Callithrix jacchus: one gene and its partners. The protein of the gene in region 4 purifies or fractionates together with the protein of the main gene of each other region. This does not show direct contact. Links are inferred from orthologs where the notes say so. Each region holds a gene or a part of one and is shown on either strand. Other genes may lie near its edges. The genes, in order: PAXIP1, KDM6A, NCOA6 and KMT2C.

Evidence for each region.
Region 1: the proteins of KMT2C (region 4) and PAXIP1 purify together in Homo sapiens (affinity purification with mass spectrometry; 4 studies listed by BioGRID and IntAct, with this or other methods). This does not show direct contact. The link is inferred for Callithrix jacchus from reciprocal best matches to the Homo sapiens genes KMT2C and PAXIP1.
Region 2: the proteins of KMT2C (region 4) and KDM6A purify together in Homo sapiens (affinity purification with mass spectrometry; 3 studies listed by BioGRID and IntAct, with this or other methods). This does not show direct contact. The link is inferred for Callithrix jacchus from reciprocal best matches to the Homo sapiens genes KMT2C and KDM6A.
Region 3: the proteins of KMT2C (region 4) and NCOA6 purify together in Homo sapiens (co-immunoprecipitation; 7 studies listed by BioGRID and IntAct, with this or other methods). This does not show direct contact. The link is inferred for Callithrix jacchus from reciprocal best matches to the Homo sapiens genes KMT2C and NCOA6.

Annotation. Positions count from the first base shown.
Region 1 is NC_133512.1:93,193,737-93,201,657, reverse strand, and holds the start of PAXIP1 (PAX-interacting protein 1), read right to left. Parts: upstream 4,984-7,921; 5' UTR 4,811-4,983; coding exon 4,730-4,810; intron 69-4,729; coding exon 1-68.
Region 2 is NC_133524.1:46,020,967-46,028,184, reverse strand, and holds the end of KDM6A (lysine-specific demethylase 6A), read right to left. Parts: intron 6,262-7,218; exon of another isoform or gene 6,117-6,261; intron 5,434-6,116; coding exon 5,307-5,433; intron 3,451-5,306; coding exon 3,280-3,450; intron 2,848-3,279; coding exon of another isoform or gene 2,839-2,847; exon of another isoform or gene 2,804-2,838; intron 2,150-2,803; coding exon 2,120-2,149; 3' UTR 1,279-2,119; downstream 1-1,278. UniProt on the Homo sapiens protein: Histone demethylase that specifically demethylates 'Lys-27' of histone H3, thereby playing a central role in histone code. Demethylates trimethylated and dimethylated but not monomethylated H3 'Lys-27'.
Region 3 is NC_133506.1:4,478,086-4,485,771, reverse strand, and holds the start of NCOA6 (nuclear receptor coactivator 6), read right to left. Parts: upstream 4,357-7,686; 5' UTR 4,162-4,356; intron 1-4,161. UniProt on the Homo sapiens protein: Nuclear receptor coactivator that directly binds nuclear receptors and stimulates the transcriptional activities in a hormone-dependent fashion. Coactivates expression in an agonist- and AF2-dependent manner.
Region 4 is NC_133512.1:95,793,955-95,801,789, reverse strand, and holds the start of KMT2C (histone-lysine N-methyltransferase 2C), read right to left. Parts: upstream 5,274-7,835; 5' UTR 5,242-5,273; exon of another isoform or gene 5,132-5,241; intron 4,605-5,131; exon of another isoform or gene 4,386-4,604; 5' UTR 4,385-4,385; coding exon 4,224-4,384; intron 1-4,223. UniProt on the Homo sapiens protein: Histone methyltransferase that catalyzes methyl group transfer from S-adenosyl-L-methionine to the epsilon-amino group of 'Lys-4' of histone H3 (H3K4).

The DNA of each region.
Region 1 (7,921 bases), about 2.6 Mb from region 4:
ATTATGTGCGAGGCTAGTGCATTGTAGGAAACTTCCTTTGCTTTTCCAGCTTTCAGAAGCTGAATAACCTAAAAAGCAAGAAAACCCACACAAGTTAAAATAGACAGTACTGCACTGCACTCTTGATTTATATAAATAATTATTGGGCATAATGGAAATTTTTAATAAAATACACCGTATTTCCCACATAAAAACTAACAGCCTTTTACTCTGAATAATATGCCAATGAAACTTTTGGGGACAATAAAAGGCAGCAAATCTTGATTCACTGACCAAGTAATGGAGGCTATTGTGAGTCAAGTACTGGACATGGTGTGTCCTCAAGACACATGGGCTGGACAGACCAGGACACAGCACAGTCACTGCCGTGGCAGGGCCACGCACATGGCGCTCCTGGGTTTCCAACATAAAGGCTGGGCATGGGGAGTTTCACCACAATTAAGGAAAGATTCTGAAAGAGGAGATAATGAGCAGAACCCTTGTGAACGTCTGGGTGTCAGGCAAAACTTCGTACACCGAGGAGGGGTCAGCGTTGAAGGCACCTAACAGGTAAATACATACCAGACCATAAATGGGCTTTCTAACACCCTATGCAAAAACGTCTGCTTCATTCTGGGGTATCTGCAGGGACACTGAAGGATTTCACACAGGAAAAGTAGCACAGATTTCACAGAAAGATGACTGCGTGAAAAGAATGGACTGGGTTGGCTGGCTGGGTGACTAAAGAGGCCTGTTAAGAAACAAGAGCAATAACCCAGGTCAAAGAGGCATCCACTAAAGGGATGTCACGAGGGGCAGAAAGGAGGAAGGTGAGAAAGAATCAGCCAGCCTTGGTGTCTAGAAGAGGTATAAGCACAAGAGCAAAGTCCAGACTGAAATGGTGGGGGAATAAGAGGACCACTCACTAAGGAAGATAGCAGAAGGGCGGCAGGTGGGGGATGCAGGAACGTGTTTTAGTGTGGGCACTGTTCTGCAGGGGGCATGTGTAATATCCAGCAACAGGCATCCAGTTGCAGCTAGGAAAGGAAGAAGATCTCACCTAACAAAAAGCCATCAGATATTACAGAGACGGGAGCCAAAGCCATGAGCATGAAGGTGAGAGTGGGAGGGGGGCCAGAGAGTGGATCAGGTGGGGAAGTACATATTACAGGAGAGGAGCGTCCACAGAAGCCAAGGAAACGAGGGGGAAGGAAAAGTTGAGTCAAGTGCTTCAGAGGAGGTGGCTAGTGTCTAAGCTGACAATGTATACCAAGTGTGAAAGTGACATGGTACCCCAAAAGCTCAAGTAACCAACAAGAGCAACGCTCTTCCAGGTCCCCTCTCCGCAGCAGAGAGCGTTCTTCCTTCACTTATTAAACTTTCGTTCTGCCAGGTGTGGTGGCTCACACCTGTAATCCCAGCACTTTGGGAGGCTGAAGCAGGCGGATCACTTGAGGTCAGGAGTTCGAGACCCACCTGGCCAACATGGTGAAACCCCATCTCTACTAAAGTACAAAAATTAGCCAGGCGGCTGGGCGCAGTGGCTCAAGCCTGTAATCCCAGCACTTTGGGAGGCCGAGGTGGGTAGATCACGAGGTCAAGAGAACAAGACCATCCTGGTCAACATGGTGAAACCCCGTCTCTACTAAAAAAAAAATACAAAAAATTAGCTGGGCATGGTGGTGCGTGCCTTTAATCCCAGCTACTCGGGAGGCTGAGGCAGGAGAATTGCCTGAACCCAGGAGGCAGAGGTTGCGGTGAGCCAAGATCGCGCCATTGCACTCCAGCCTGGGTAACAAGAGCGAAACTCCGTCTCAAAAAAAAAAAAAAAGAAAAAAAAATGAGCCAGGCATGTCGGTGGGTGCCTGTAATCACAGCTACTCCAGAGGCTGGGCAGGAGAATCGCCTGCACCCAGGAGGTGGAGATTGCACTGAGCTGAGATCGTGCCACTGCACTGCAGCCTGGGCGACAGAGCAAGACCCCATCTCAAAAAACAAAGAAAACTTTTGCTCCAACCTCAAAATAATAATAATAATAAAATAAAGTGACCCTCAAGCTAGGCAACCTTTTCACAATACTATACTGAGCACTAACAGACATGAACTAGGGCAGAGGTTCAGTATTTAATAAGTGAAAAACAACGATCGCTGGCCACAGGCCACTTCCCTTTACTCCTTCCCTTGACCTCTAAGCACCCTTAGCTTCACACATCCATTCGGCTTGTCTGTGAAAAGGCACCTCCTTTTCCTGCCCTCCAGTCTTTCTGAGCCTATCTCGATATTTCAGTCTCTCCCTGTCCACAGCTATGCTCCCTCCACCTGTAAACAGTGAGTCTCCCACATCCTCCCATGTGCTTGTGATGCAACACAGATCCCTCCCAGCCCTCTCTTCCTCGGTCACCTTCTGTTTCCTTCTCAGGGCAAATTTCCTTAAACAGCCTAACCTTTCTGTTCTCAGTTTCCAATCACTCTTCAGCTCCCTGCAAACCAGCTTCTTCCACCGACACTCTACCAAAAATACTTATTCGGTTTTCACAGACTTTGAGGATGCCAAAACCAAGCGCTTCTTTCAATCTCCACACTACTGAATATCTTAATAGATTTATCTCATGTCATTCTGTTCCACATATAGTGATTATCCTGATGTATTCCCAATGCACGATGCCTTCATTCCTCAGTACACATGTTCCACGGGAAAATATTCCTTCATGTTCCCAACTTCTGCTGATCTCAAAAGCCAAGTGAAATGACATCTACTTAGTGACATTTCAGTGGTGCCTGCTCTGCACCCCAGGGGAGAAATCTGCTACCCCTTGTACTGTGATGTGTCCAAGTGTGTTCCCTCTCCGAACAATGAGGGATGCTCAAGGGCAGGTACCATGTCCTCTTCACCTTTATGTTATACCTTCCACTCAGTCCATGCCTGCCTCATACTAGATGGTCAACATGTGAACTTACAATCCACAGTCAGAAGACTCAGAGAATCAGATATCCAGGCTCTAAACATTTCAGAAAATATACTCTTTCAGATGAAAGTGGTTTCCCAAGGACATTTTTAAGCACGTAGATTTAATTTACAGTTGAGTAAATATGATTCCAGTTCAACTTGTTCCAGGTTTTAAGTAAAATTTGGTTCAAGTGCCTTGTAAGAGCCAAAGTCCTACAATCAAACAGGAAGGGTAGGAAGGAGGGGGCAGAGAAAAATGGTGGAGAGCAAAAAAAAAAAAGTTGGGGGGAACGGGAAATTATCATCAATACTGGAAAAAGCTAACACTGTTATAACACTGTTACAGGCACTCATTTGGATCACTCCCTGTTCAGCAACCGTTTTACTCTTTAAATGAAAAGCAAGAAGTTTCTCTCTTTTTTTTTTTTTTTGTGAGATAGATTCTCGCTGTTGTTGCCTAGGCTGGAGTGTAATGGCGTCATCTTGGCTCACTGCAACCTTAGGCTCCCAGGTTCCAGCAATTCTCCTGCCTCAGCCTCCCGAGTAGCTACAACTACAGGCACCTGCCACCACATCTGGCTAATTTTTGTATTTTTAGTAGAGATGGGTTTTTACCATGTTGGCTGGGCTAGTCTCGAACTCTTGACCTCAGGTGATCTACCTATCTCGGCCTCCCAAAGTGCTGGGATTACAAGCGTTGAGCAACCACGCCAGGTCTAAAGTTGCAGTGCAAAAAGGATCCAAGAAAGTAGTTACTAAGATACAAGGACGAACCTCAAGAAGGCCAAGACCAATCAGTCTTCTACTCCATCCAAGTTCACTTGCTAAATATTAGTCTCCGACCTTCCAGGCCTAACTGTTCACACGGCATCCCCATCCTGCAAGGTGGGCGCCACTGATGTCACCCCCAAGGCAACATTAAAAAAAAAAAAAAACTGTACAGTTAAACTCTTACGAAGGAAATATTTTGAAGATTAACCTGAAGAGGATATTCAACTAAGATGCATTCCTATCACGGGCTGATAACTGTGTGACATCAAACAGATGTATTATTACAGGAATACGAAGGAAAACCCACAGTATCCTTTGGCATGAGCCCAAACTACACAAAATTAAATGTGTAATGTGATGGTGTTACCAGGGCACCATAAAATTAATCATCCAACTGGGAAAATCAAGGAAGACGAATGCCAGCCCCCACGTGCAAGGACACAGGCTGGAGGGGAGCGCTCCTCAGCCTCGCACAGAACCGCAACTGCCCGGGCGGCGGAGGCGGCCACGCCGGGGCAAGGACACGGCCCCCGCCGGCCCAGCGAGCCTGGGAGCCCCGCGCGAGTTGCCCGGGCCGGGGATCCCCGCAACCTCTCGTTCGTCCTCAGAGCCGCGACACCCGACGCGGGGCAGGGGAGATGCGACCCCGCGCCAGTCACCCTCAAGAAAGGAGCAGAGAGCAAGGGGGCCCGCTGGGTGGGGGGCGACGACCTCAGGGCCCCAGGCCCGGGGCTCAGGGCGCGCACGAGGGGCCTAGGCACAGAGCCCCCGCCGACCCGGCAGCCCTCCCCTCCCGCCCTCCCTCCCCCGGGCCCCGGCCTCCCGCGCCCACCCCGCGGCCGCCCCTGCCCTCCGCGCAGTCAGGCCTCCCGGACCCGACGCTCTGCGCCCGGACCCGACGCTCTGCGCCCAGCGCGCGCCCGAAGCGGGAGCGGGGACGGGGACGGGAGCGGGGACGGGGACGGGAGCGGGGACGGACGGTGACGCGAACGCGGGGGGAAGCCGCGGCGGGCGCGGGCGCGGGCGCGGTACCTGCGGGTCGATGTCGCCCACCGCGTAATACTTGACCTCCCTGAACATCTCCTCAGGAACTTTGGGCGACTGGTCCGACATGATCGCGGCGGCCCGGGAGGCTCCGCGGCGGCGCCCGGCCCCGCCCACCCCCCGTCCCCGGCCCCCACGGCGCCCGGCGCCCCCGCTCGCCCAGCCAACGGCCCTGATCGCGCGGCCCGGGCCGGGTCCTGCGAATCGGGGTCCGCTCCCCCGCCCTCCGCGCCCCCGCCCGCGCCCGCGCCGAGCGCCCGAAGCGCGGGAGCCGCGCGCGCCCTGCGGGACGCACCATCCCGCCCCAGCCGCCGAGGGGGAGCGCCGAGGAGCCGCCCGGCCGCCGGTGACGCCCCGCGCCTGTGCCGCCGCCCACGGCCCCCGGGGAACTGAGAGCCATGGACTAGCTTCAAACCTTGCGGTTCCGTGGCCACCGCTCTGCAATAAGGGGGCTCTTGGGACGAGGGGAAACACGCGCCCCCCTCGGCGGGGCCGGAGTGAGCCGGTCCCGGGAAGGAGGGGAGTAGGCAGGCCCCTCCCGTCACCACACGCGGCTGCTCCAGAGCGGCGCATGCGCGCGGTGGAGGGGCGGGGCCTCGGGACCGGGCGCCGGAGCGGGAGCCGGCGCCGGAGCGGGAGCGGGTCCGGATCCGGATCCGGATCCGGATCCGGTCTGCGGCCTCCTTGGGTTCATTGAGCCGGGGCAGAGTGGGGTTGGGTGTTGCAGGCTGTTCGCAGTTGCCGAGAGCGCGGCCGGACCTGGAGTAGTGCCTCGGCGCCTGTGCTGGGGACGCCCGGCCCCGCCACTGCCTGAGGCCCGGCTGTATTGAAGGGCCGGGCCTCGTCCCTGGCGCCGCGTCCTCTCCGCGCTCGGGGAGAGTCCCAGACGGCAGAGCCCGCGGTGCACCTCCAGCCCCAGGAAGCCCCGCTCGGCGGGTTAATGCTACACAGCGGCGATTCTAATGCTGGTGCTTTTTTATTTACACCTCGCCTCCCTTCCGCCAAAATTCCCAAAACGCGGCAGAGTGGCCTCGGGGTCACCTGCCCGAGACACCTGCGCCACCGAAAGTCGGGGGAAGAAATAAGGCCTTGATGACGAACGCGGCCGTTTACGACGTTGATTTCCAATCTCACAGCAAACCGGAGACCAGAAACTCACGGGTGATTGTCGGAATATTTCCTGGTCCTAGAACTGGAGCATTGCTTGTTAAATTACTCCGAACCAGGACCGCGGTGTCTTCCCCACAGACCCGAAGTCACTACTGCCAAGGAGAAAACCATTTTTAAGTAAACGGTAGTGAAATTGGTTTTAAAAAAGAAGGGGCCGGGCGCGGTGGGTCACACGTGTAACCCTAGCATTTTGGGAGGCCCAGGCGGGCGGATCACGAGGCCAGGAGATCGAGACCAGGCTGGGCAACACGGTGAAACCCCGTCTCTACTAAATATAGCCTGGCGTGGTGGCGGGCGCCTGTCATCCCAGCTACTCCGGAGAAATGCTTGAACCCGGAAGGGGGCAGTTGCAGTGAGCGGAGATGGTGGCACTGCACTCCAGCTTGGGCGACAGCTAGACAGCCTCAAAAGAGAAGGCTTTCAGAATTCCTCTGTGGTACACTAACGTAACAGATTAGATCACTTTCCAGGCTTTATGTTGGCCTTTGTGCTACCATTTTTTTTAAATGTATGATAAAAGTTGTGTTGGTTCATTGCTCAACATGCGATCTGTTGTTAATCAGGCGAATACAGTTTTGTCTTTAAATCTGTGTGTATGTCATGAGTGGTTTCGTACAGGCAGAAGGTAAACCACACGTTTAAATATACTTAATGATTTATCATTCCAGTGTTTGCTGTTTTTTGTTGTTGTTGTTGTTGTTGTCTTTCTCATTTGTCTCTTGAACAATCTGAAATTCTAAGGCTCAAAAACTTATTTTACAAATTTAGATTGAGCATTCCTAATCTGAAAATCTGAAATCTAAAATGCTCTAAAATTCGAAATTTTTTGAGTGCTGACATGACGACTGGTTCACAGTCAAATCACAATCCAACCAGGTGTGGTGGGCACCTGTAGTGCCAGCTCCTCGGGAGGTTGAGGCAGGAGGATTGCTTAAGCCCAGGAGTTTGAGTCCAGCCTGGGCAATATAGTGAGACCCTTTCTAAAAAAAAAACAGCGAAAACATTTTTTTAAGAAATGCCATCAAAACTTTGTTTCATGCACAAAATCATTTAAAATATATAACCTTACCTTAAGACTATGTGGGTGAGGTGAGGTGTATGTGAAACCAATGAATTTTCCACTTAGATTTAAGTCCCTTCACCAAGATACCTTATTACATACATGCAAATATTTCAAATCAAAAATAACGGAAATACTTTTGTCCCAAGCACTTCAGATAAAGCTTACTCAACCTGTAATTAAAAACACTGAGTGCTTGCCTGAAGGAAAAACCAAGAATTTATCATCCATCCTTAAATTTGTATGACATCCTTTGTAATCGGGAAACCTTCTATTACCTAAGAATATATTTGATGTATTCTGGCATATATTTTCATTATGATGTTTTATGTTCTATGTTGGGAACATACCAGTGTAATAAATACTGTAGGTCCAAATACAGATCATGCCTTTTTATTGACCTGTGTGAGAAAACTTAATTTATCCTTTCTGTGTGAGAGAACTTATTTATCCTTTTGGTTTTTCTTTTGTCTTTTGTTTTTTGAGACAGAGTGTCACTCTGTCACCCGTGGAGTGCAATGGCGTGGTCTCGGCCCACTGTAATCTCCACCTCCCAGGATCAAGCGATTCTCCTACCTCAGCCTCCCGAGTAGCTGGGACTACAGGTGCATACCACCCCGGCTAATTTTTGTATTTTTAGTAGAGATGGAATTTCACTGTGTTGGCCAGTCTGGTCTCGAACTCCTGACTCATGATCTGCCAACCTCGATCGTGATCCGCCTGCCTCAGCCTTCCAAAGTGCTGGGGTTGCAGGTGTCAGCCATGGTGCCTGGTTGTCCTTTTGTTTTTCTTGGTTAAACACAAACTAAGTAGGTGATTTTATGTTAAAAGGCCTGAAGTGGACTTCAACTAGGTATTTTATTTTGTGAATTAAGAAAGCAATTTGTAATGTTCAAAAGAACAAGCTTACCCTACTTCAAGTTCTGATAGTCAATAAGGCAAATTGTGGG
Region 2 (7,218 bases), on a different chromosome or scaffold from region 4:
AACAAACTATCTTAAAATCATAGAAAATAAGACATTGTGTCAGTAAGATAAACTAGAACAGGTTAGAAACCTTTAGGTAGAGCTTCAGCATTATGATAATCTTTGCTTCTTGATGGTTGGCCTGCAATTTTTGTTTGCAAATATGTTCGTCTTGAGTTATTCTCAATAATCTTTGGATAGGAGATTTTACAAGAAAACCACTTATTAGCGATTAAACATCCTGAATAGCATTTGGACAAGCATTCTTGCTCCATAACTAAAATAGATTTGGAATTCTTTCTTCTGAAATTATAAATGAGATGATTACTTCTAGTAGTCAATATTTACCAAATTATTAACTAATTGAAAAAAGTATCTCCATGCTTTCAACCTTCGAACTGTTTCTAAGAGGATAACATACTCTAAATCTGATTAATGCAATCAGCAGGGCATTTTACTAGATAGATTATAAGCTCTCTCTCTATATATGTATATTATTTATGGCATTATCTATGCTTCTTCACGAATGCTTGCTGGAAAATTCATACGGAGAACAGTATGATAAAATGAGAGTATGTGTCAAATGCTTCCAAAAATGGAGGTACAAATGCAAGGTGCTGTTATTATAAAATGAAATACTATCACTAACTAGCAGTGCCTTGTGAATGCTTAATATAGATGCTATATTTTACTAGTGATAGGGAATTTGCAGCACCCCTCCCGCAAATGATGTCATGCAAGCAAAAAAGCATGAGATTTCAAAATTGCCTAACGTTAAAAAATAAGTCTCTTAATTTATTTGCATTCTAAAATAGAGCCCTTCATCCTGAATCCCCTTTTCCATATAAAATGTCACTAAGTTATGTACAGGATTTGTCAAGCCCATATAACATTCCCTTTAAAATCTTAAGTTCAATCACTGTTTGTTTTCTACTATTATACTACATTTTGGCAGCAATTGTTTATTGGTCTGTCATTGCAGTAATTGCAACTTAACAATAAACCAGTCTGACATTTTAGGTCTTGAAGATACATACCATATATATTTCTTTAAAAATAATCATACTTTTTTTGTAAGCAATACTTTACAGTAGACACCTCAAAAATCTACCATAGATGTGAAACTTAAAACGAGAAAAATTTAAGTTCTAAATATTTATACATATATATCCAGATTTCTATATATATTATATATACATACATAAGTATATATAAAATATATATAATCAGATTTCAAAAATGAACAAAAACTGGGCACTGTACATAAAGTCCTTTTAAAACTCAAACAATAGAAAACTCTTTAAACATTAAACAATTTTAATAAAAGTTTCTGTACAATGCTAAGCAGTTTTATTTACACATAGAAAATGTAATAGGAGTAGTGTTTGAAATTACAGAACTCCTTAAAATTTCAATGGCAGGTAAATCTGGAAAAAATAACAGCATTCCATTCACAAATATTTTCAAGCAATAAATATGTATTTATAAATAGTGTAAATTTACATCAAGATTAGAAACAAAAATCACAAATCTGAAGTTTATTCCTTAGTCTATGTGCAATCCATTACCTTTGTGACTTGGCTGTTAATTTTTTAAATGTTTTATTTAGGAACCAAAAGTGTAACCATCATGGTCTCAAAACAAGACAGAAAAACATAAAAGCAGTAAAAAAGTGTCTTAGCTAACTTTTCACATTAAAAAAAAGTTGACCAAAGAAAGACTTAAAATTGCTAACTACCTTACAAAGAAATGACCAGCTAGGCTAGTATTTTTTTTCCAAGGAAAATTCTGAAGGGGGAGAAGACAGATGAAAACAAATTCATCAGCCCAGAAATAGAGAAATATAAAAGAGGTTGTCTTCAAGTCAGTAGTCTGTATGATGTTGCCAGTTTTGTCAGATATATACAAAACATGGAAATTATTATTTTTTTCTGAAGTACAGCTGATCAGCCTTGTGAGATCCTGGAGTAGGAGCAGTACTCTCTCCTGTCCAGTTGGTTGACACTCCGCACTTGGAAGGTTGCATAGACAACAGTTTTCAGCCAGCAGCCTTACGAGATAGCTACAAAAACCAGTGGTGCAGAACTGGGTTGTTTCCTGAATAGCAGAAAAGGTCTCATTTAATGTCCATGGAACAATATCAAGATGAGGCGGATGGTAATGGAGGAGCCTGAAAATAAAAGTAAGATGGGTTATTTTGGTATACAAATTGTTAATAGCTCATGGCTACAAAAATATAGTTTGCTTATGAAGTTAGGGGAAATAACTCCCAAGAAAGTTCAACAGCCTGCTATACAACATAAAAGCACAACCTACCTTACTATCTCCCATTCGGCCAATTTTCCTAAGAGTCTAAGACCATTGTCCTACTCAGAGTACTTGCAGTTTCCTATACTTCTTCACCTAAAACTCTTGCAATGTTATTAAGTTTACCATTTTTTAAGATTGCTTAAAAAGGGGGGGGGCTTCTTGAAAAATAATTTAACAGATTACAATTTCACTAGTGATTGCCTTCAGAATCTATCTCAGCTAGATAATATATTTTGTTCAACATATTCCAGATAATTTTCTTCTTCAGCAATCCTGAAGACCATTTAAGAGAAAATATCAGAAACAAAATTTCAAAAAGTTAGTTTCTGATCACATATGTGTGGGAGACAAGTACTGGAGAAAATCAACAATTCATAAAGTATCTCTGTGTTTCTATTCATAAAGCTATTGATCTGCTAGAGTAAAATGCTTTCCCCAAGCATCTGCTGTCTGAAATTAAAAACTGTGTGCAATTTATAAGTATACTTGAATTTCATAAGGTTATATAACATACCAGGAAGTTAAGCTCCATCAAATATTCCCATGAGGTTAATACTTCTGGCAAGGACAAAATTTTAAACAAATACAATTAGCTCTAAAAGCAGAAGTGTATTTAAAAGCACACTTACTGATTCATTTTGTGGGCTCTAATAACCTACATACACAAACATTTTATCAACCGAGATAAAATGACATAAAGGATGATAGTGTTTTATCTAAAGCACACAAAGATTTTTAAATGTAATTGTTGTAAAATCATTTAGGCTGGTCTCACCCAGAAAGAAAAGTAAAAATGATATATGCCAATTTTATAGGAATAAATACTTGGAAATGGAGGGGGGAAAAGATATGAATATACCCTCATGCAATATGTAATGAGCCAAAGGAAAACTTAAAATATTTCATTACCTCCTACTTATCAGGTGGCAGAACAAACACTGCTGCTTCATAACCCAGTTAACTATGTACTCACATGTTGATTTGACTTACTAATGTAAATTGGTCATAAACTTGCATCAGGTCCTCCATTTTGTACTGTTCTAGCACCACAAAGTTTTCCAGGTTTCCGCTTGTTTTTCGTGCACAATCTTGGCAATGTACTATGTAGGTCTTTCGTGAATTACTCTCATTTGTGACAAAAAGCAGATTAAAAACCTCTACCTGTTTTATACAAGAGAAATATGTATTCAACAGAGATGGTGGTATTTACTGTACTGCTTTAGTATAATCATGAAATTCTACTTGAATGAAATTGTGAACAGTGATCTCTGGTTAAGAGTAGGTGGTAAGAAAAACATGGCTGTGTTTGAGAATCTTTAATAGACCAGGTTTATTTTGCACCAAATCCAAAGACATGGGTGGAATGCATATTTAGGGGAGTAATCAAAGGGGGAATGACATACTCATGACAACCACCAGCAAAGCCCAGTTCAAAAGTTTGATAAAGGTCAACCTATTTTTAAATCCAAAACACTAGTATACAATCAAATGTAAGTGATCATTTTTATGTATTCATGAGTACAACATGATTTTAGAAATAATACCTCTGTCTTCTACAGAAAGATTGATGAATCGCTAAGGTGTAGGTAGCATAAGGAACAACACACCTAACTGGAATCTATCTATCTCCTAATGACTTATTTTGGTTAGGTCATACAACATTTAAAAAGTCGATGGATTCAATCATTTCAAATAAAGGTTGACATTAGAATTACAGAATTTCAAGGTTTGAAATGGACCATCAATATCCTGTCTTTGACTTATCCTTGAGTTTCTTCAGTGACAGAAAACTCTTATGACCCCATGTCTTCTTTGAACAATTAACTACAATCCCAGAGAGTTCACTATGTTATCCATTATTGTCAACAGGCAGCAATATGAACCTAGTGACCTGAGCTAGAAAGTTGGTGAGCGTTCTTCAACTTGTACTTCTGCTTCTGCTATTTAATGAGGTGTCTTGCTGATTTTACCCTCTAAATATTTTTTGAGATTATTTCCCTTCTTTGATATTCCCATTTCCAGGTTCTAGTCTAGATAACAACTCTTAAGACCACTGTCACAGCTTATATCGCTGTCCTTTCCAACCACTTTTCTCCCTGAAACACTTATCTTACCCTTAGTTGCCTGCTCAAAACCTTTTAATGGCTTCAATGACCTCAGAATATCAAATTCCTTAAAACCATTCAAGATGTGCTACAAATTACATGCCACCTAGACTTATGAGTAGAATTGGCAGTCTGTGTCCCAGCCAAATTGGAACACATTCAATCTTTTCTAAAACCATTCCATTTTCCCATTTTCTTCTTGTTCCTATAGTCCATGACAGCCTATCTCTGATTCCCATCACTTTCTTAGCCTACTGATACACTCTTTTTTTTCAAGGGTGGACTCAAATGCTAATACTTTTGTGAATTCTTATGCCAATACAACAAGAAAAAATTAGGTCACTTTTCCCCTCAGTGTTTTTATAACGGTAAGTCCAATTTCACATTCATCAGTCTCAAGTACATTATAATTAGTTGTTTATAATCTGTACGCTCCAAGTATAATTTAAGCTCCTTCATATTCATAGCAGCCACCACATCTTTGTTCCTACACCTCTTGCAAGCCTTGGCAACAGAAGATTCACAAATGTATTGTGAATTGCACCAGAGAGGACTGAACATAGATCTGCCTATACTGAACCACACATCCAGTTTATTGACATCTGTGTATATCTAGATTGTTCCCAGTTTAAAATCTCAGACTAAACTTGCTGATTCTCATCTGTTGAAGATCTACCACAAAAATGACTCTGTAGTAGATACTTTTAAGGTTATTAATTAACAGTGAAATATTGTTATTATCACACTAAGTTTTAATACAATGGCTAACAACAAAGTTGAATCCAATGTTGATTACTATAAACTGCATTGCATAAAAGTATAAACAAGTTTTAAAAAAATAACTAAAGAGAAACCAAAAGTAGAGAGGGCAGAGGCTTTATAAAACAACTGTGGATAAGAACAATTACTTACTTCACAAATGCTACAGTAATGAGCTGGTTCTTCTTTTGTCCGCCCATGCCATATAATCTCTTTTCCTGCAGCGATGAGAGCTTCCCTCAATGTTTGGCATTGCTTCAGAGTTCTTAGAAGACAATACCTATTGTGGGGGAGAAATTATTTGTGACCAGCAACTGAATATTGAATATTTTTAGCATAAAAGATATACTAACTGGAAATAATGCCAAGAGACTTGACTCTAATGTCTATGATTTCATAATTTTTCTTTCATCAATTTATCAATTATTCTCAGATTTAGAAAAAAAGCCAATGTTCAGCAGGCCTGAAAACTATTAAAACATTTAAAATTGAGAAAATTGATATTGGATATCAACATATAATCGTCTTAATATATAAAAACTAACTCCCTGCTTAAAATGTGAGTTGCTAATTTTGGCTCTTATTTGGGCAAGTCAGTTAACCTCTCTGGGAGTCAATTGCCTTATCCTTGAAATAAGGGGTGTGAATTCCAGGTCTGAACTGCTATGATTCTAATAAGGCAGGAAGGCACATTATTTTTTTTATCAGCGCTACCTAAACACTCATTAACAGCATCATCTGTACAGCTGCTTTTGAAACTCAAGTCTATAAGCAGAAAATATATTTATGAATTTAGTTACTAGAGGATACGATATTCATTTAACTATAATAGTAAAGAAAAAAGTATGTCTTCATTTTATCTTGAAGGTAACAGTAGAATTCATTCATATTAACATAATTGAACTTTTCTTATACCTTTTCTAAACTCATACTTAGGATGCTAACAACATAGTAAATTCTCACAATTTGTACTGATTCTCTTATAGTTTTCTGTCATTACTTGGAATTCTTTGCTGAATTCTCTTACTCTCCTGTGAATCTTAGTGGCTCAGGTTCTCCATTCGAATGGAGAGGTTGAACTAGATGATCTGTAACGCACTTTTCAGCTCTAAAATTCGGAAACAATGAAAATATCATAAAGTTTAGCAACTGAACGTTGTCTTGAAAGCAGAGATCTTATCTATTTTATTCCTGCTATCTACTTATCTACTCACCACCTAGGATAGTGCCTAGCATACAGTAGCTTAATCAATAAACAACTAAAATTCAAATTATAAGTAATAAAACATTTAATATACCTTATTATTTCTTTGCTATTTTATAAGTTACTATGTTAAAATATGGTTATTTATTAGAACGCACGTATATTAATCCGGCAGTGGGTGGGGAGGCGGGGAATGACTAAATCTTTGTAAAACTTGTTAGCTTATTTAAAAAACATAAAACAATATCAATTTCATAGTTGTAGGCCAATTCCTTAAGTATCATATTCAAAGATGCACTGTCAGCTTGACTTCAACAATTCTTACATATTTAACTTATTTAGAAACAAAAACAATGCTTTAGACCAGTGGTCCCCAACCTTTTTGGCACCAGAGATCAGTTTTGAGGAAGACGAGTTTTTCAACAGACCTAGGGGGAAGGGCGGGGGGAAATGGTTTCGGGATGACACTATTCCACGTCAGATCACCAGGCATTAGCTTCTTATAAGGAGCGAGGAACCCAGATCCCTTGCATGTGCAATTCACAATAGTGTTCCTGCTCCTATGAGAATCTAATGCCACCGCTGATCTGAAAGGAGGTAGAGCTTAAGTTGTAATGCCAGCTTGCCTGCTGCTCACCTCCTGCTGTGCAGCCCGGTTCCTAACAGGCTAAGGACTAATACTGGTCTGCAGCCCAGGGCTTGGGGATCCCTCCTTTAGACTGTGGTTGTGTGTCAAGACTAGGGCAGCTATCGGTGGTATGTATGCATGCCTGTAAAGGGTGCCAGGGAAGGTAGCAAGTAAAAATTTAGAACATGGAAAAGAGAGAAGAATATAATTCAGACTCTGCCTCTAGCTTTTGA
Region 3 (7,686 bases), on a different chromosome or scaffold from region 4:
AGAAAAAAAAAAAGACACATAGATCGGGGTTGGCAAATGTTTTTGTAAAGAGTATTTTCAGCTTTGTGAACCGACATAACACATCTCTGCCACAACTACTCAACTTTGCCATTGGTACCACAAAAGCAGATATGGACAATATTAGTAAACGAGTGTGGCTGTGTTCCAATAAAAATGTTATTTAAAAAAACAGATGGTGGGCCAGATTTGACCTATGAAACAGTTTGCTGACCCCTGCCTGACATGGACAGTTGTGCTTTTTCTACACTATAGGTAGGGTACTTCCCATGTTTTCCCCTGCCTTTTATGTCTGCTGACACTTACCTCTGATTTCCTTAACCAAAAACTACACCACACTTGACAGCTTTGCAGTGGTTTCCAAAACTCTTACTCTACCAAAAAAACCCTTTCACCCTTATTATCAATGAGAATTCTCCCCTCATTTTCCTTTCATTTAACCTCTTTGACAGCCATCAACCCAGAAAATCTAAACCAGAAATCTAAAAAAGTCACCCCTCTTACCACTCACAACGTCAATCATCAACACCTGAAAATTCTAACTCCATTCAATGCCCACAGCCTCTGCCTTAGTTCAGATCCTCTGTACTTGCCTGGTCTTCAGTCTACCCTCCTTCCAAAGATCATCCATGTATCTCCTAGAAATTAAAACTCCACTATATACTCCCCCTTTTGAAGATCTTGAATGCCTCTCTCAGCTGAGGATTCAGTCCAAACTCCTTAGCAAGGTCCTTCACAACCAGGCTCCTAACATGGGCTTCCTAGTCTCATCTCTGACCATGCTTTCACACACATCCTATGCTTCAGCCACATTCAATTAATGCATTCCCTGAAAACGTGTCTTTACCTGAAAAGCCCTTCTCTCCAATTCACTGGCAAACTCCTGTATCTTTCAGGACACATCTCAGATGTCACCCCTTCACAACACCTTGCCTGATACTTTGAGCAGAGACACACCCATCTGTGTCCTTATAGCATTTAATGACTCTTCTTTGGCATCGGCCAACCTGAGCTATGATTTTCACCTGTCTACTTCACTCATAGGGCTGCATACCCAAAGTGAAATGACTGCCGTAAAGACTTCTGAATCTACTGGAGCCCAGCATAATGCTTGATACGCAGTAGATGCCTTGAGGCACAGTAAATGTTTGTTGAATGGAAGACATGTCTGGTAGTAGGAGTTGGGTTTCTTAACCTGGGGGTTCACAGACCGGAATCTATAAATAGGACTTCAGTGAGGTTTGTGAACTTGGATAGAAAAAACAAAATTTCTTTTACTAACCTCTAACTGAAAATTACCATTCTATTCAAATATGACTGTAGGTAACATACCATTCTAGTATTAGGAGTATCTGTGACTCTGTAACAATAGAAATCTCAAATATCTTTATTTTTTTGAAACAGAGTCTTGCTCTGTCACCATGCACCAGGCTGGAGTGCAGTGGCACAATTTCAGCTCACTGCAACCTCCACTTCCCAGGTTCAAGCAATTCTCCTGCCTCAGCCTCCCGAGTAGCTGGGACTACAGGCACACACCTCCACACCCAGCTAATTTTTGTATTTTTAGTAGAGACGGGGTTTCACCATGTTGGCCAGGATGGTCTTGATCTCTTGGCCTTATGATCCACCCACCTCAGCCTCCCAAAGTGCTGGGATTATAGATGTGAGCAACCGTGCCCTGCCCTCAAATATCTTTATATTATACTACAGTTGTTGCATATAATCTTAAAGTACCCTTTAAGCGCATCATATCTTTGAAATTATAATTATCGGATCCATCACTAAATATGATTTCTTAATGTGCTGATAAACAAGTATATGCATATTAGATTTTTATAGTGTAGTAATTGTATTTCAATATAATTGGTGTTCCTTATAATCCAATGTATTTTATTTTATACAATTAAAAATATTATTCTGAAAGGGGTCCATGGCACAGATAAAGTCAGGTCTTCCAGCATTAGAAAAACCCAGAAAAGGCTCACACCATGGTGGCTCACGCCTGTTAATCCCAGCACTTTGGGAGGCCGAGATGGGCAGATCACTTGAGCTCAGGAGTTCAAGACCAGCCTGGGTAACACGGTAAAACCCCATCTCTACCAAAAAGAAAAAAAAAAACAAACCCAGAACAAATGAATTGTGTTACTGTATATACATATGATATTGACGATCTTATTTTATATATAACCCTTTTGTTCATTAATTCTCTTTGATTATATGGGGCCCTGGACCTATTTTTCATGACTGATTTGCATATTTCCTTCAGACCCATAGTCCATGCAAACTTTGAATTCTTCTCTCACAGGATCCAACTTCGATGAACACAATATAGACTCTGGGTCTCTACCATTGTTCACTTTTCTTTTTTAGGATTTTGTGTTCCTTTATGATAAACACCTAGAAGAGAAGGCATCTCTTTTTTTAAGACAGTATCTTGCTCTGTCGCCCAGGCTGGAATGTCATGGCATGATCACAGCATGGCTCATTGCAGCCTTGACCTCCCAGGCTCAAGCGATCCTCCCACCTCAGCCTCCTGAGTAGCTGGGACTACAGATACAAGCCACATCAGATGGCTAATTTTTTGGCCTTTTTTGTAGAGATGGGGTCTGCCAACTCCTGGGCTCAAGGAATCCTCCCACCTTGGCCTCCCAAAGGGCTGGGATTACAGGCATGCGCCACTGTGGCTGGCCGGAGCATCTCTAAAAACTCTAGAAAGTTAGAAAGTATCAAAGATAACTTCTTTGCACAATTAGAGACGAGCCAGGAAATACCAAGTAACTGTATTCCCTTCGGCCTTTGCATTGCCAAACTCATTACAGGAACAAAACAAATTTAATTGTTCTCTGGTATATACTGTTACGCTTCATTTCTTGTTGTTTTTGTTTGTTTGCTTCTAGTTTCATCACAAGAATGTTACGCTTCATTTCTTAACACCTTTCTCCCAACCAGCAAATTCCTTTAAGGAAATGTGTTTAAACCACTTCCAGTAGCCCCTCTGCCACTAACTTATAAGATCTTGAGAAGTCAACTTTACCTTTCTATGTTTCAGCTAAAATCACTACCTGAGTTGAAATCTTTACTTGATCTCTCAGGTCTTTGTAGTTTTTATACATTCACTCTTCACCATTTTACTGGCTTCAATAACGCCTTTCTGATGACCTCTCCAGGTGACCCTGCTCTTAAGCTGTGGGCTGTCCCATTCCAGGGAAGACACCTTGGGTCACCGCCCCCAAACAGGCGGGTTCCTCCTTTTAAAGACACACACAACTCCCAAAGTTGATGTAGGTTTTCTCCTTTCTTGCCAACCAGTTCTACTCTCTGTACCTCTTTTGCTGGCCAGCTTGCACCCAAACCTCAGTCCCCCTGTTCTCTCCTCATCAAACACCTTTTTCCTGTTGCTTCCCCCAATAGGGGGTGGAGGATCCTTGGGACAGAAGTCTTCAGAGCCTTGTGAGTTACACAGCTTTGCAATTCAGTTCCACTACCCCAAGGACTGCCCAATCTGATACCAGCGTCTGGATCCAAAGGGCCCTCATTTCTCATCAATCGCCTCCGTCCTTTCCCGCAAAGAACTGTTCCAGCCCTGACAGCCTGAGCCTGACCCCAAGCCTCCACCCCAATCCCCAGATCCTACCAGCACTAGGGCTCTCTATACACCGCCTAAGGCCTAACCCAGTTCCACGTCCTGCCATCCTTTCAGCCCTTGGACCCCAATCCCGGTTCCTTTCGGTCCCGGTGTTCCTTCTCGGCGACCCTGACTACGACCCCACGACCCCACGACCAGCTCCCGCCAGTTCCCCAGGCCTGAAGCGCCACCCCGTGCAGACCCCAGCCAGCCCTGCACTCCCTCAGTGCACCGGCCCCCGCGCCCAGCACCCTCCCCACCCCGCCGGGCCACCGCTCCCTCCAGCGCCCCCGCCCGCAGGCCTAGGGCCCGCTCCCCAACATGGCGACTGGGACACCAGCGCGGCGGGCGGGGCGGCTCCGGGCCGGGCCCACACTCGGACCGTGCAGCACGGTCGCCGGGCGCCATTTTCCCGCGCCGGGCCCGGGCGGCGCCTCCTCCCAGCAAAGCCAACCCGACCCGGACCGCGGACGCCCGGCGGGCCCACCCCTTACGGGCCCGCGCCGCCGTTGCCTCACCTGAGCGCGGCCCCGGCCCTCCCGGGCGGGCCTTGGAGCGCCGGCCCGGGCCGTGCGTGCCCGCCGCCCTCCGTGCGTTCGTCCGTCAGTCCTCGCGTGCGCCCGTCTGTCCGGCCACCCGCGCCCGGCCGCCCGCAGCCCGACCCGGCAGGGCCTCACGGAGCCGGCGGGGAGGGGGATGGGCCGGACCGGGCCGGGGAGGGAGGGGGAGGGAGGGAGAGAGGGAGGGAGCGCGAGAAGGGGCGGGGCGGACTCGAGGGGCGGGGCATCGCCCATGTGACCAGACGTTCCCGGGAGCGCGAGGTGGAGCGCGCGCCAGCTCGCTTCGGTGCTGAGTGCTTAGTGCGGGTGTATCGTGGGTCTCTGTCGACTTCCCAGGGCTGTTCTCCCGCCAGTGAGTCCCACTTCGGAAGCACACACGGCACAACGTTTTGCGAGCGCTCTGGCTAAGTACCCTTGGACGTGGCAACTCCAAGCCTCAGTTTACCTATTGAAATATGGAGAAATTCATAGTGCTTGTTGAAGAAGAAATGGCGGGGGGCATGGAAAGCACTTATCGCAGTGCCTGACACATACTGTCTAATAATAAGCTTAATGGGGATATAGATAGAAGCTTTCATTATTAGTTGCCTCCAAATCCCTCTCTTCTTTTTCCCATCATTACCTCCCTAGCAAGCGAAATGCTCAGTTAATAGAATTCTTGATCGAACAAGTGAGTGTGGCCCCTCCCCTCTTCCCAAATGTAGAAAGGCCTCCTCAGCACTGGACTTGATGTCTGTCATTCAGGCCTGCATTCATATCTGGCTTTCACTCTTTTTTTAAATTTTTTTGTTCTTTTTCCCACACTACACTGATGTATTTTTTTAATTTTTGTGAGTACGCAGTAGGTGTATATATTTATGGGGTATATAAGATTTTGATACAGGCATGCAATGCATAATAATCACATCATGGTAAATGGGGTAAATGGGGTATCTAGCACCTCAGCATTTTTTTTAAAAAAGATGGTGTTTCACCATGTTGGTCAGGCTGGTCTTGAACTCTCGACCTCAGGTTATCCACCCACCTCGGCCTCCCAGAGTGCTAGGATTACAGGCATGAGCCACCGTGCCTGGCCGCACCTCAGCATTTATCTTTGGTGTTACAACCCAGTTATATGCTAGTTATTTTAAAATGTGCAGGTAAATTGTTTTTTTACTATCATCACCTTCTTGTGCCGGCAAATACTATGTCTTATTCATCTTATTTTTTGTAACCATTAATCATTCCCATTTCCCAGCCACCTCCCACTAACCTTCCCAGCCTCTGGTAACCCTCCTTCTACTCTGTATCTCCATGAGTTCAATTGTTTGAATTTTTTGCTCCCATAAATAAGTGATCACATGGGAAGTTTGTCTCTCTGTGTCTGGCTTCTTTCATGTAACAAGGACCTCCAGTTACATCCATATTGTTGTAAATGGCATGATCTCATTCTTTTTTAATGGCGGAATAGTATTCTATTGTGCACATGTACATTTTATTTACCTATTCATCTGTTGATGGACACTTAGGTTGCTTCCAAATCTTGGCTATTGCGAACAGGGCTGCAGTAAACATGAGAGTGCAGATATCGCTTCCGTATACTGATTTCCTTTTTTTCTGGTGTATACCTAAGAGTAGGATTGCTGAATTGTATGGTAGCTCTATTTTGGCTTTTGCTCTTGATAGCTACCCTTCCCTCTCTGAACTTCAGCTTCTTCATCTGCAAAATAGGAGTTAGGGGGCTGTTCTGAGCATCACAGGAGATGGAGGATGAACAGGAGGATTGTAAACTAATTAAACAGGTCAGTCCTACTGGTCCCATTAAGGAAAGGGAGTCAGGAACCCTTTCATTCCATAAATATTTATTGAGTACATACTGTGTGCCTGGACTGGTGTAGTAGATACCCACCATCTTTTCACATCACCCTGACTGCCCTCTAATCTATTCTCCACGCTGCTGTCGCAATAATGTTTCTAATGATCAGAAATCTGATTATGTCACTACCCTACTTAAAAGTATCTGATGATGGCCAGGTGCAGTGGCTCACGCCTATAATCCCAGCACTTTGGGAGGCTAAGGCAAGTGGATTGCTTGAGCCCGGGAGTTTGAGACCACACTGGGCAACATGTCAAAATCCTGTCTCAACAAAAAATAGAAAAACGGCTGGACTCAGTGGCTCACACCTGTAATCCCAACACTTTGGGAGGCCAAGGTGGGTGGATCACCTCAGCTCAGAAGTTCGAGACTAGCCTGGGCAACATGGCGAAACCCCATCTCAACTAAAAGTACAAAAATTAGCTGGGCATGGTGGCACACACCTGTAGTCCCAACTATTTGGGAGGCTGAGGCATGCAGCCAGAATCACTTCAGCCGGGAGGTGGAGGCTTCAGTGAGCCGAGATCACACCACTGCTCTCCTGCCTGGGTGGCAAAGTGAGACCAAGTCTCAAAAAAAAAAAAAAAAAAAAAGACAAAAACAAAAATTAGTGGGCATGGTGGTGCACACCTGTGGCCCCAGCTACTCAGGAGGTTGAGGTGGGAAGATTGCTTGAGCCCAGGAGGTTGAGCTTGCAGTAAGCTGAGATGGTATCACTGTGCTCTAGCCTGGGCAATAGAGTGAAACCCTGTCTCAAAAAAAAAAAAAAAAAAAAAATCTGATGGCACTTCATTGTTCTTAAGATAAAGGCTAAATAAATGTTGTGCCCCTCACCTCTCTAGATTTATCCCCGGGCCCTCTTCCCCTTTCTCTGGGTTGGAACTACAGTGACATTTCTTACACATTGTTCTCCCTCCCTTCTAAGCACCCTTGCACATGCTGATCCCCCTGCCTCCAATGCTCTCCACACTTAAATAACTCATCAGCCTTCAGAATCCAGTGCAAACAGGGCTACTCCAAGGATACCTTCCCAGACAGGATCTCTTAACACCATGTACTTGTCCTTAATAGAAGGTACCAAGTCATTATTACCTGTCTTTGCCACTGGACTATGGAAGGAAACCTCATCCATTTTGTTTACTACTGTTTACTGAGCACGTAGCACAGTACCTGGCACAGAGTAGGTGCTCAATAAGTATTTGTTATGTTTGTGACTTCTAAGCACCATACTAGGTATTGGGCCCAAGAGGGCAGAGAGGAGCAAAGAGAACCACAGGCAACCCAACAATGGGGCACCTTAGACCTTTGAGCCTATGGAATTAACACCAAAGAGATTTTAAATATCCTGGAAAAGCCAGGCACAGTGGCTCATGCCTGTAATCCCAGCACTTTGGGAGGCTGAGGCAGGCAGGTCACCTGAGGTTGGGAGTTTGAGACCAGCCTGACCAACAGCCAGACCAAACCCTGTCTGTACTAAAAATACAAAATTATCTGGGCATGGTGCCACATGCCTGTAATCCCAGCTACTCAGGAGGCTGAGGCAAGAGAATCACTTGAACCTGGGAGGTGGAGGTTGTGGTGAGCCAAGATCTCACCATTGCACTCCAGCCTGGGCAACAACCCCAAAA
Region 4 (7,835 bases):
GCCTGACCAACATGGTGAAACCTCGTCTTAAAAAATAAATAAATAAATAATAAAGAAAGAAAGAAAAGAAAACAACTTACTCTCAAATATTAGAAATTCCCATGAACGAGGCAACAGTAAACTACAGTAAGGTCAGGTTAAACAACCTCCTAACAGTAAGAGAGGGTAGCAATCCTGAACCAGCTTTTTCAACTGAATTAAAACATTTCAGTGCCTACTAAGTGCCAGAGAACAATAACTATTAAAACATTTCCATTTATCAAATCTTTTGAACAACAAATTAAGAATTGCTATCATAAAAATTACAAATTTGCATTATCTCAACAACTATAAATAGTGCTATCTCTCAGCTATAAACTTGTTTTATTAAACAGCATATATAGTAATGCAGTACAGTTTTCTGTCACTTATTTCAAATTCACAGCTATGAAAAAAAGAATCTGCCAGCTGCAGTGGCTCACAGCTGTAATCCCAGCACTTTGGGAGGCCAAGGTGGGTGGATCACCTGAGCTCAGGATTTGAGACCAGACTGGCCAACATGGTGAAACCCCGTCTCTACTAAAAATTCAAAAATTAGCTGGGCGTGGTGGCGGGCACCTGTAATCCCAGCTACTCGAGAGGCTAAGGCAGGAGAATCATTTGAACCCGGGCGGGGGGGGGGGAGGCAGAGGCTGCAGTGAGTGGCACTGCACTCTAGCCTAGGGGACAAAAGCGAGACTTCGTCTCAAAAAAAAAAAAAAAAAGAAAGAAAAGGAGAAATTTTGTTGGGGGCAGGGCCTTACAAATACAGGTAGCAGCCTGCTGCATAGCCATTTTTGCTGGTCCTTGCAATGACAATCACTGAAAACTTTCAGATGAATGTACCTAATTTTTCTACAACAATAATCCCTAAGGTGGCTCTCTAATAATAGCAACTGCCCTCTGAAAAGAAAGTGATTCTGGGTATAAAGAGTTTACTCAAAAAGGGTCAAAGATAGTGCTTCGAAATTCTATCCCTATCACCTGCCGCTTCTGTACACCCACGCCCATCCCCCACACCCACCCCACTTCTAACATCACCTTTGATGAGCTGGTAAGAAATATGGTAGAGCAGAATGTTCCGTTGGCTTCCCAACTTACAGAGTAAGGAATTTACAGGGTAAGGATGGAAAAAATAAGATCAAAGCTTCAGAAAAAGGTTTTTTAACATTAACAGAACAATAATCAGATCTTTAATGTGCATATTCTGGCAGAGGCTTCTTTGCCAGACCTGTGCCTCTGATAAAGATTATGAACTACTCCAAATAATCAAATAATTTGATAGTCTTTACAGTTAAGGAAAACTTTCAGATGAATGTAAATTTCACTGTGCCACTTGACATTTGTACAACAGAAAATCTCTATTTACATACTTACCTTTCCAACTCTAAGATTAATAGCTTCAGTTCAAATTTCTTGATTTTAGACACTAAACAAAATTTTAAGTTATATTAATATAAAAGCAGCAACTATATAGCTAGTTTTTTTTATATGTGATAAAACAAACAAAAACAATCTAGCTAACACTACAAGACAAGAAAATGCTTTATTTACCTAATTATTAAAAATTCAAACTGGAGAGAAGCGTAATTGGTGGTGCATGTTTTTTTTAAGCCAAAGATAAAAACACAAATCCACTTTAGTGTCAAAAGGCATCTTCTCTACTTAATGTAACTCACTAAGTTAATGAACACATAAGTAACACTAACAACTTAAAATATCTCTATGATACTTAACAAAGAATATTAATTTTCATATCTCAGATGAATTACTCGCAATTTCACATAATTTCACTGGTTACAAACCTAATTTACACTGGTTACACATAAGTTTCACTTTCAGGGTCTTTACTACCCAATTAGAAGGTTTTTCCTGCATGGACTCTAACATAGTGTAGAGATACACAATTGAAAAACCTTCTCTTTGCTTTCCAATTCATATGTTAGTTTCCATTTACATGTTTCTAAAAACTGGGGATTCCATTCCCTTCAAAAGACATTTAATTAAAAAAAAAAATGCTCTGAAAAGTTTGGACCCGTCAAATTTACCAGTAGACTTTCCTATAAAGAATGCAGTACAAGTTTTCAAATCTAAAAGGAAACACTCAAGACTTACATTTGTTCTAAATATTTCCAAAGTTCTGATGTTTCAGCGTTATGCCGTCCTTCAGCAGAAATTTTACCTTCTCCAAACACTACCTATTTCTTCATGAGATTAAGAATTAAAATAGGCCAGGTGCGGTGGCTCACGCCTGTAATCCTAGCACTTCGGGAGGCCAGGAGTTCAAGACCAGCCTGGCCATCATGGTGAAACCCCATCTTTATAATTTAAAAAAAAAAAATTTAAAATAATAAAGTGGAAATACCCTAATCGTCCGGTGCACCCAGGAACTGCACTAATACAAATGAGCTCGTTTCAAAAGTAGGATGTGTGTTTGAGTGTGCGCGCGTGCGTGTGCAAGTGTGCGTGCACAAGCACGCCCTTACATGAGTATGGGGTGTGGAGTGTGACAACACAAATCTACTCTTTCTAGAGTAAGAATTCAAATGCAAATTTAAAAACAATAATCTCAAATTAATGTTCAGTAAGAGATGAAGAAACGGTTTTCAAATAGTGAAATGGGAGACAATCGAGGTAAAATCCCAAGATGGCTTGTCCTGAGTTCCTTTAAAGGATACCAAAAAGTGGCTTAGACGTCTACAAATTACTTTAAACCTCCACTTCCTTCTCCAAATTTCAGTTAATATAGAATAAGGGCATTCTATACCTGCCATTACATTACAATGCAAGCGGCCTAATAAATAAACCCTAACTTTGTATCACAAAGAAGCAAATGTAATAATGTACACACATCCTGTACTTGCTTCCCTCACTATTATCATAGCTAGGTAAGAGCTGGCAATGAAATATGGAGGCAAGCTGAAGGGCCTGAATCATTTCCATAGTAAAAGGACGTAGGGCAAGAAAAGAGCACATTCAAGTCAAGTGCTTAATAGGTTCCCACAACCCAGCTCTGTTATGCCTCAGTTCACGCTACTATTTTTACTACAAATCACCAAACAACAACAGTATTACTAAGTGAATGCACCCGAACCAAAGAAACAGCCTATCCATAAACGTGCTGGCTTCCTTCACGTCCCAGCGCACCCTTCCACTCCCGACAGTTCAATGAGAATACCGTATCATGAAATGAGTAAGCACACACGCCATTCTACAACTTCGAGAGACATTCACAGATCTTCCACGGCACACGCAAGAACCACAGAGGCCGAGCAGTTAGTTCACTGGCACTGAAACGGGTTTCTTCATTGACAAGCAAAGCCGTCCAATAACCGCTCTGTACAAAAACATTTCTGGTCCTCTAATAAACTGGTCCACCCCTACTGTATGCTCGAAAGCACGCCAACCTTTTTCCAAACCCCTTACAGCTAAGACTTACTAGGGAAGCGACATTTACATCGGCACTCTTTCCGAATAAAAGTGCTCCGTATTCTGCCTTACGAGGGGACACAGGTTACGTCTCCAAAACTTAGGCAGGCCGTTCCCCGAAGCTGTGGGATCCCACAGGAGTTGTGCTTTCGGAGCCCGACAGTGCGGTTCGGGGTGTCGAGGGAGTGGGGAGGGAGAAGTCAAATGGCTTCCTAATATATCAAAAGAAGAAAACACAGGTTTGGGACCAGGAAAAGTTCCAGGAGCAGGTCTCTGACAAAGAAAAGCCGCACTCGCCCGGCCGCTTTCTTCTCGCTCCCAGCCCGCGCCCCGAGACCACCTGGCCCGGGCGTTTTGACAGCTCCGAGAGTTTGCCGAGCGCCGACGGCTCGGCTGTTCGCCCGGAGTCCGTCCGGGGACAACCTGGGCGCGCTCCGGGTTTGTTTTCTCAATGATCCAGCTAGGCCAAGACGCGGCTACGAGAAATTTCTCCAAGAGAAGAGTTGCGGAGAAGACCCAGCGAAAAGGCCCGACTGAAAAGTAAAGTGTGCGGAGCCCGGGCGGGCGGCGCGGAGCGGGGGAGGCCGGCCGCGGGCGGCCGCCGAGGGGCGCGGGGCCAGGGCCGGGGCCGGGAGCCGCCGCCGCCCGCGGGCCCGCCCCGCCCCCACCCCGCCGGGGGGCGCCGGGGCGCGGGGGCCGCGGGGCGGGCGCCCAGTGACAGCTCCGGCCCGGCGCCGCCGCTGGCTCCCGGCCTGGCTCCCTCGCACTCAACTTACTTCTTTCTGGCTCTCTGGAAAGGGGAAGCGCCATCTTTGCGAGGCCGGCCCCGAGGTCTTTTGTCTGCGGCTGCGGGGCTCGGGGCCGGGGCTCCGGGCTCCTCGGGGGGTGGTGGCGGCGGCTGCGGCTGCTCCACGCTCTTGTCCTCCTCCGACGACATCCTAGTCACCAGGAAAGACACATGGATCCCGGTCCTCCTCCTGGGGGGCTCCTCCCGCCGCCGCGGCCGCCGCCGCCGCCGCTGCTGCTCGGGTTCCTCCTCCCCGGCTCAGCCTCTCGCATTTCCCGCAGCCCCGGGAGCAGCAGCAGGTACCGGGAGAGGCGGCAACATGGAGCGAGCAGGACACGCACTCACACACATCGGCGCGGGCGCGCGCACCTCCGCGCGCAGGGGCCGGGCGGGGGGCGGCGGGCGGGGCGGGCGGTGCGGGGCGGGCGGGGCCGACGGGTGCGGGCGGGCGGGGCGGCCGGGCGGACGGCGTGGGGGGCGCCGGCCCCCGGGGTCTCCGCCCGCGGCCCCTCCCCTGGGCCGCCCGCGGCGGGAGGAGAAAGGGGCCCGGTGCGGGGAGGGCGGGCCGCGGGGCCCGGCGGGGGCGGTGAAGGGGTCGCGCCCCCGGCCGGCCGCCCCTCCCCCGCGCGTCAGGCTCGTCAGGCCCGGGCGGCGGCGGCGGCGGCGGCGAAGTTTTGACAGCTGCTCCAGTGGCGGCGCTGGGCGCCGGGGCTGCACGGGCGCTGGGCCGCGGCTCGCTCCTCACACTCGCTCTCTCACACACGCTCGCTCGCTCTCCCGGAGCAGGGGAGGAGGAAGTTTTACGGGTGTGCGTGGACCCCACACACACGCCGCGCGACCGTGGCCGCCGCGCGAGGCCCGCGCCGGGGCTCCCCCGGGGCGACCCGCACCACAGACCTCTCCAACTCGCCACCGTCGCGCCCACACACCGCCGCTTCGACGGCCCCCGCCCGCTCCCCCACTCTCGGCCCCTCGCCCGCCCCCCGCGCGCCGCCGCTGCCACTCACGGGGCTCGCTCCGCGCATGCGCCGCTCTCGCCGCCCGCGGACGCGCCGCCGCCGCTGACCTCACCGCCCCTCCCCCCCGGGTTCCCTCCCCCTGTGACGCGGCGGCCGGGCCCAGCAGCGACTCCGGCTCCGACTCCGGCTCCGGCTCCGGCTCCGGCTCCGGCTCGGGAGGGAGCCAAGCTGTGGACCCAGAGATCCGGGATCGGGATCCGGGGACTGCGGGCGAGGGCGGGAGGGAGCGGCGGACACACGCGGAGGTGGCCCGGGGTGCAGGGGGCAGCCCGGCGCGGGGAGCAAGTGTGCGCCCGCACGGCGAGGTCAGCCCGGGCTTCGCCGGTTCTCGCCGAGGTCTTTCCTCGTAGCGCCCACACTGCGGGGAGGAAAAGGAATGGAGTCAACTTCGACCTAATCCAACACCAGTTAGAGTTTCATTATTATAACGTCATTTTTTTTTTTTTAATCCAGAAAAGGTTCATAAGGATGTAAGAGGGAAAGAACGATGGCAGCTCCAGAAATAAAACGGTTAAAGACAAAAGCCGATAAAAACCCAACCTCTCGGTTTTAACGTTCAGTGTGTTGTGATGAAGAGGCAAAAATCGAAGTATTTCTAAGCTTCTTCTTATAATATGTTAAAATGGTAAAAAGAAAAATGGGGCTAGAATCCTCCTGAAAAATGTACTTTCTCAGGAAGGACAGTTACAAATACGGGATTCCGGATTTCTCAGGCGAATACTAACACTTGGACGTTGATCTATTCTGTGCTTACCATGCACTATCGATTAGTATATGGGAGTGAAAAAAGTCTAGATGTTAATTAGGGGGAAATATTAAGACCTATCAACCATTTGTGAGGGATTGGGGTAAACTATCATTTAATAAGCATCTACGTTGGGCCTGGCATTAAGAGGCACACTCTCATCCTGATTTCATCTTCACAATGCAGTTTCAGTGTAAGGTAAAAATAATAGACTCCTTCTCCAGCGGTGTTGTTTGCTTTCCCTTACAGTAGCTAGGATGTTAACTTCACCCTGTGTCTTCTACTTGGGTAAAATATACACACTTTGATTCCCAGAGCCTATTCTAAATGAAAGCATAATTTTTTCAAATGGCTGAAATAAGGAACAAAGTCAGAGAGTCATTTGAATTCCTTTAGGGTTTAATCCCTGCTGGCTCTTTCAAATTTGCTAAATTTATAACCAAAGGAAGTTTGGGATTGAGGAGGAGGCTGGCATGGTAAATGCAAACTACAAATTAGCAGGGCGTGGTGGCTCACGCCTGTAATCCTAGCACTTTGGGAGGCCGAGGTAGGTGGATCACCTGAGGTCAGGAGTTCAAGACCAGCCTGGCCATCATGGTGAAACCCCATCTTTATAAAAAAAAAAAAAAAACTACAAAAGAAATTTTTTTTACAAAACTACAAATTAAAAGTACATCACTATTACACATAGAAATACAACATATACATGACTAGTGATAAACGTAAGATGTGATATATTGAAAGTTTACTAAGTACAAATAGGACAGCACCCTTTCTTTTTTTCATTTTTTTCAGCACATTATACCTTAAATAAAGTACGCTTTCAAAACTGGATTATTGATCAAAATGTCCATGTGTTCCATACTGAAATAAAAATAGGCGCTTTCACTGTGAGTTTCACATGCACAAAATTACACATCAATGTAGTTTACTTTGATACGCTTCTCCAGCACTTCCGAGAATTTCAGTGTCAGCGCGTACAAACTGCAAGTCACTCCCACTGGAGAGTTCACAAGAAGCAAAGGGACTAAGAGCAAAAAAGTGAGCCGCGTGAATGGAAGAAACAGAGTGGAGGGTAGAAACAGAGGTCCATGCAGCAATGTAGAGATGGGGGTCTCACTGTATTGCCCGGTCTAGTCTCTACCGAGTGGAGGGTAGAAACAGAGGTCGGTGCAGCAATATAGAGACGGGGGTCTCACTGTATTGCCCAGGCTAGTTTCTACCGAGTGGAGGGTAGAAACAGAGGTCCGTGCAGCAATGTACAGATGGGGGTCTCACTTTATTGCCCAGTCTAGTCTCTACCGAGTGGCAGGTAGAAACAGAGGTTCGTGCAGTAGAGATGGGGGTCTCGCTGTATTGCCCAGTCTAGTCTCTACCGAGTGGAGGGTAGAAACAGAGGTTCGTGCAGTAATGTAGAGATGGCGGTCTCACTGTATTGCCCAGTCTAGTCTCTACTGAGTGGAGGGTAGAAACAGAGGTCCGTGCAGCAATGTAGAGATGGGGGTCTCACTGTATTGCCCAGTCTAGTCTCTACTGAGTGGAGGGTAGAAACAGAGGTCCATGCAGCAATGCTTCTGGAAAGATGAAGATGATGCAGGTGAGTAAACCCAGCCTTAAATCTCCATTCCTTTGGCCACTGTGAGCAGGGAGTTGGGATCTGTTTTAAGAGAATTGATAGCAAGCTCCTTGGCATGAAGTTATCATGAGCAGAGCAAATAAAATGTAACCCAGGATGCTGAGGAAGGATTCAAGGAATACTTACTCAACATAAATAAAGGTTTTCCATCTCAGTCATCCAAATTACACAGCTCTGAGACCACAGTGTTAAAAATCTAGG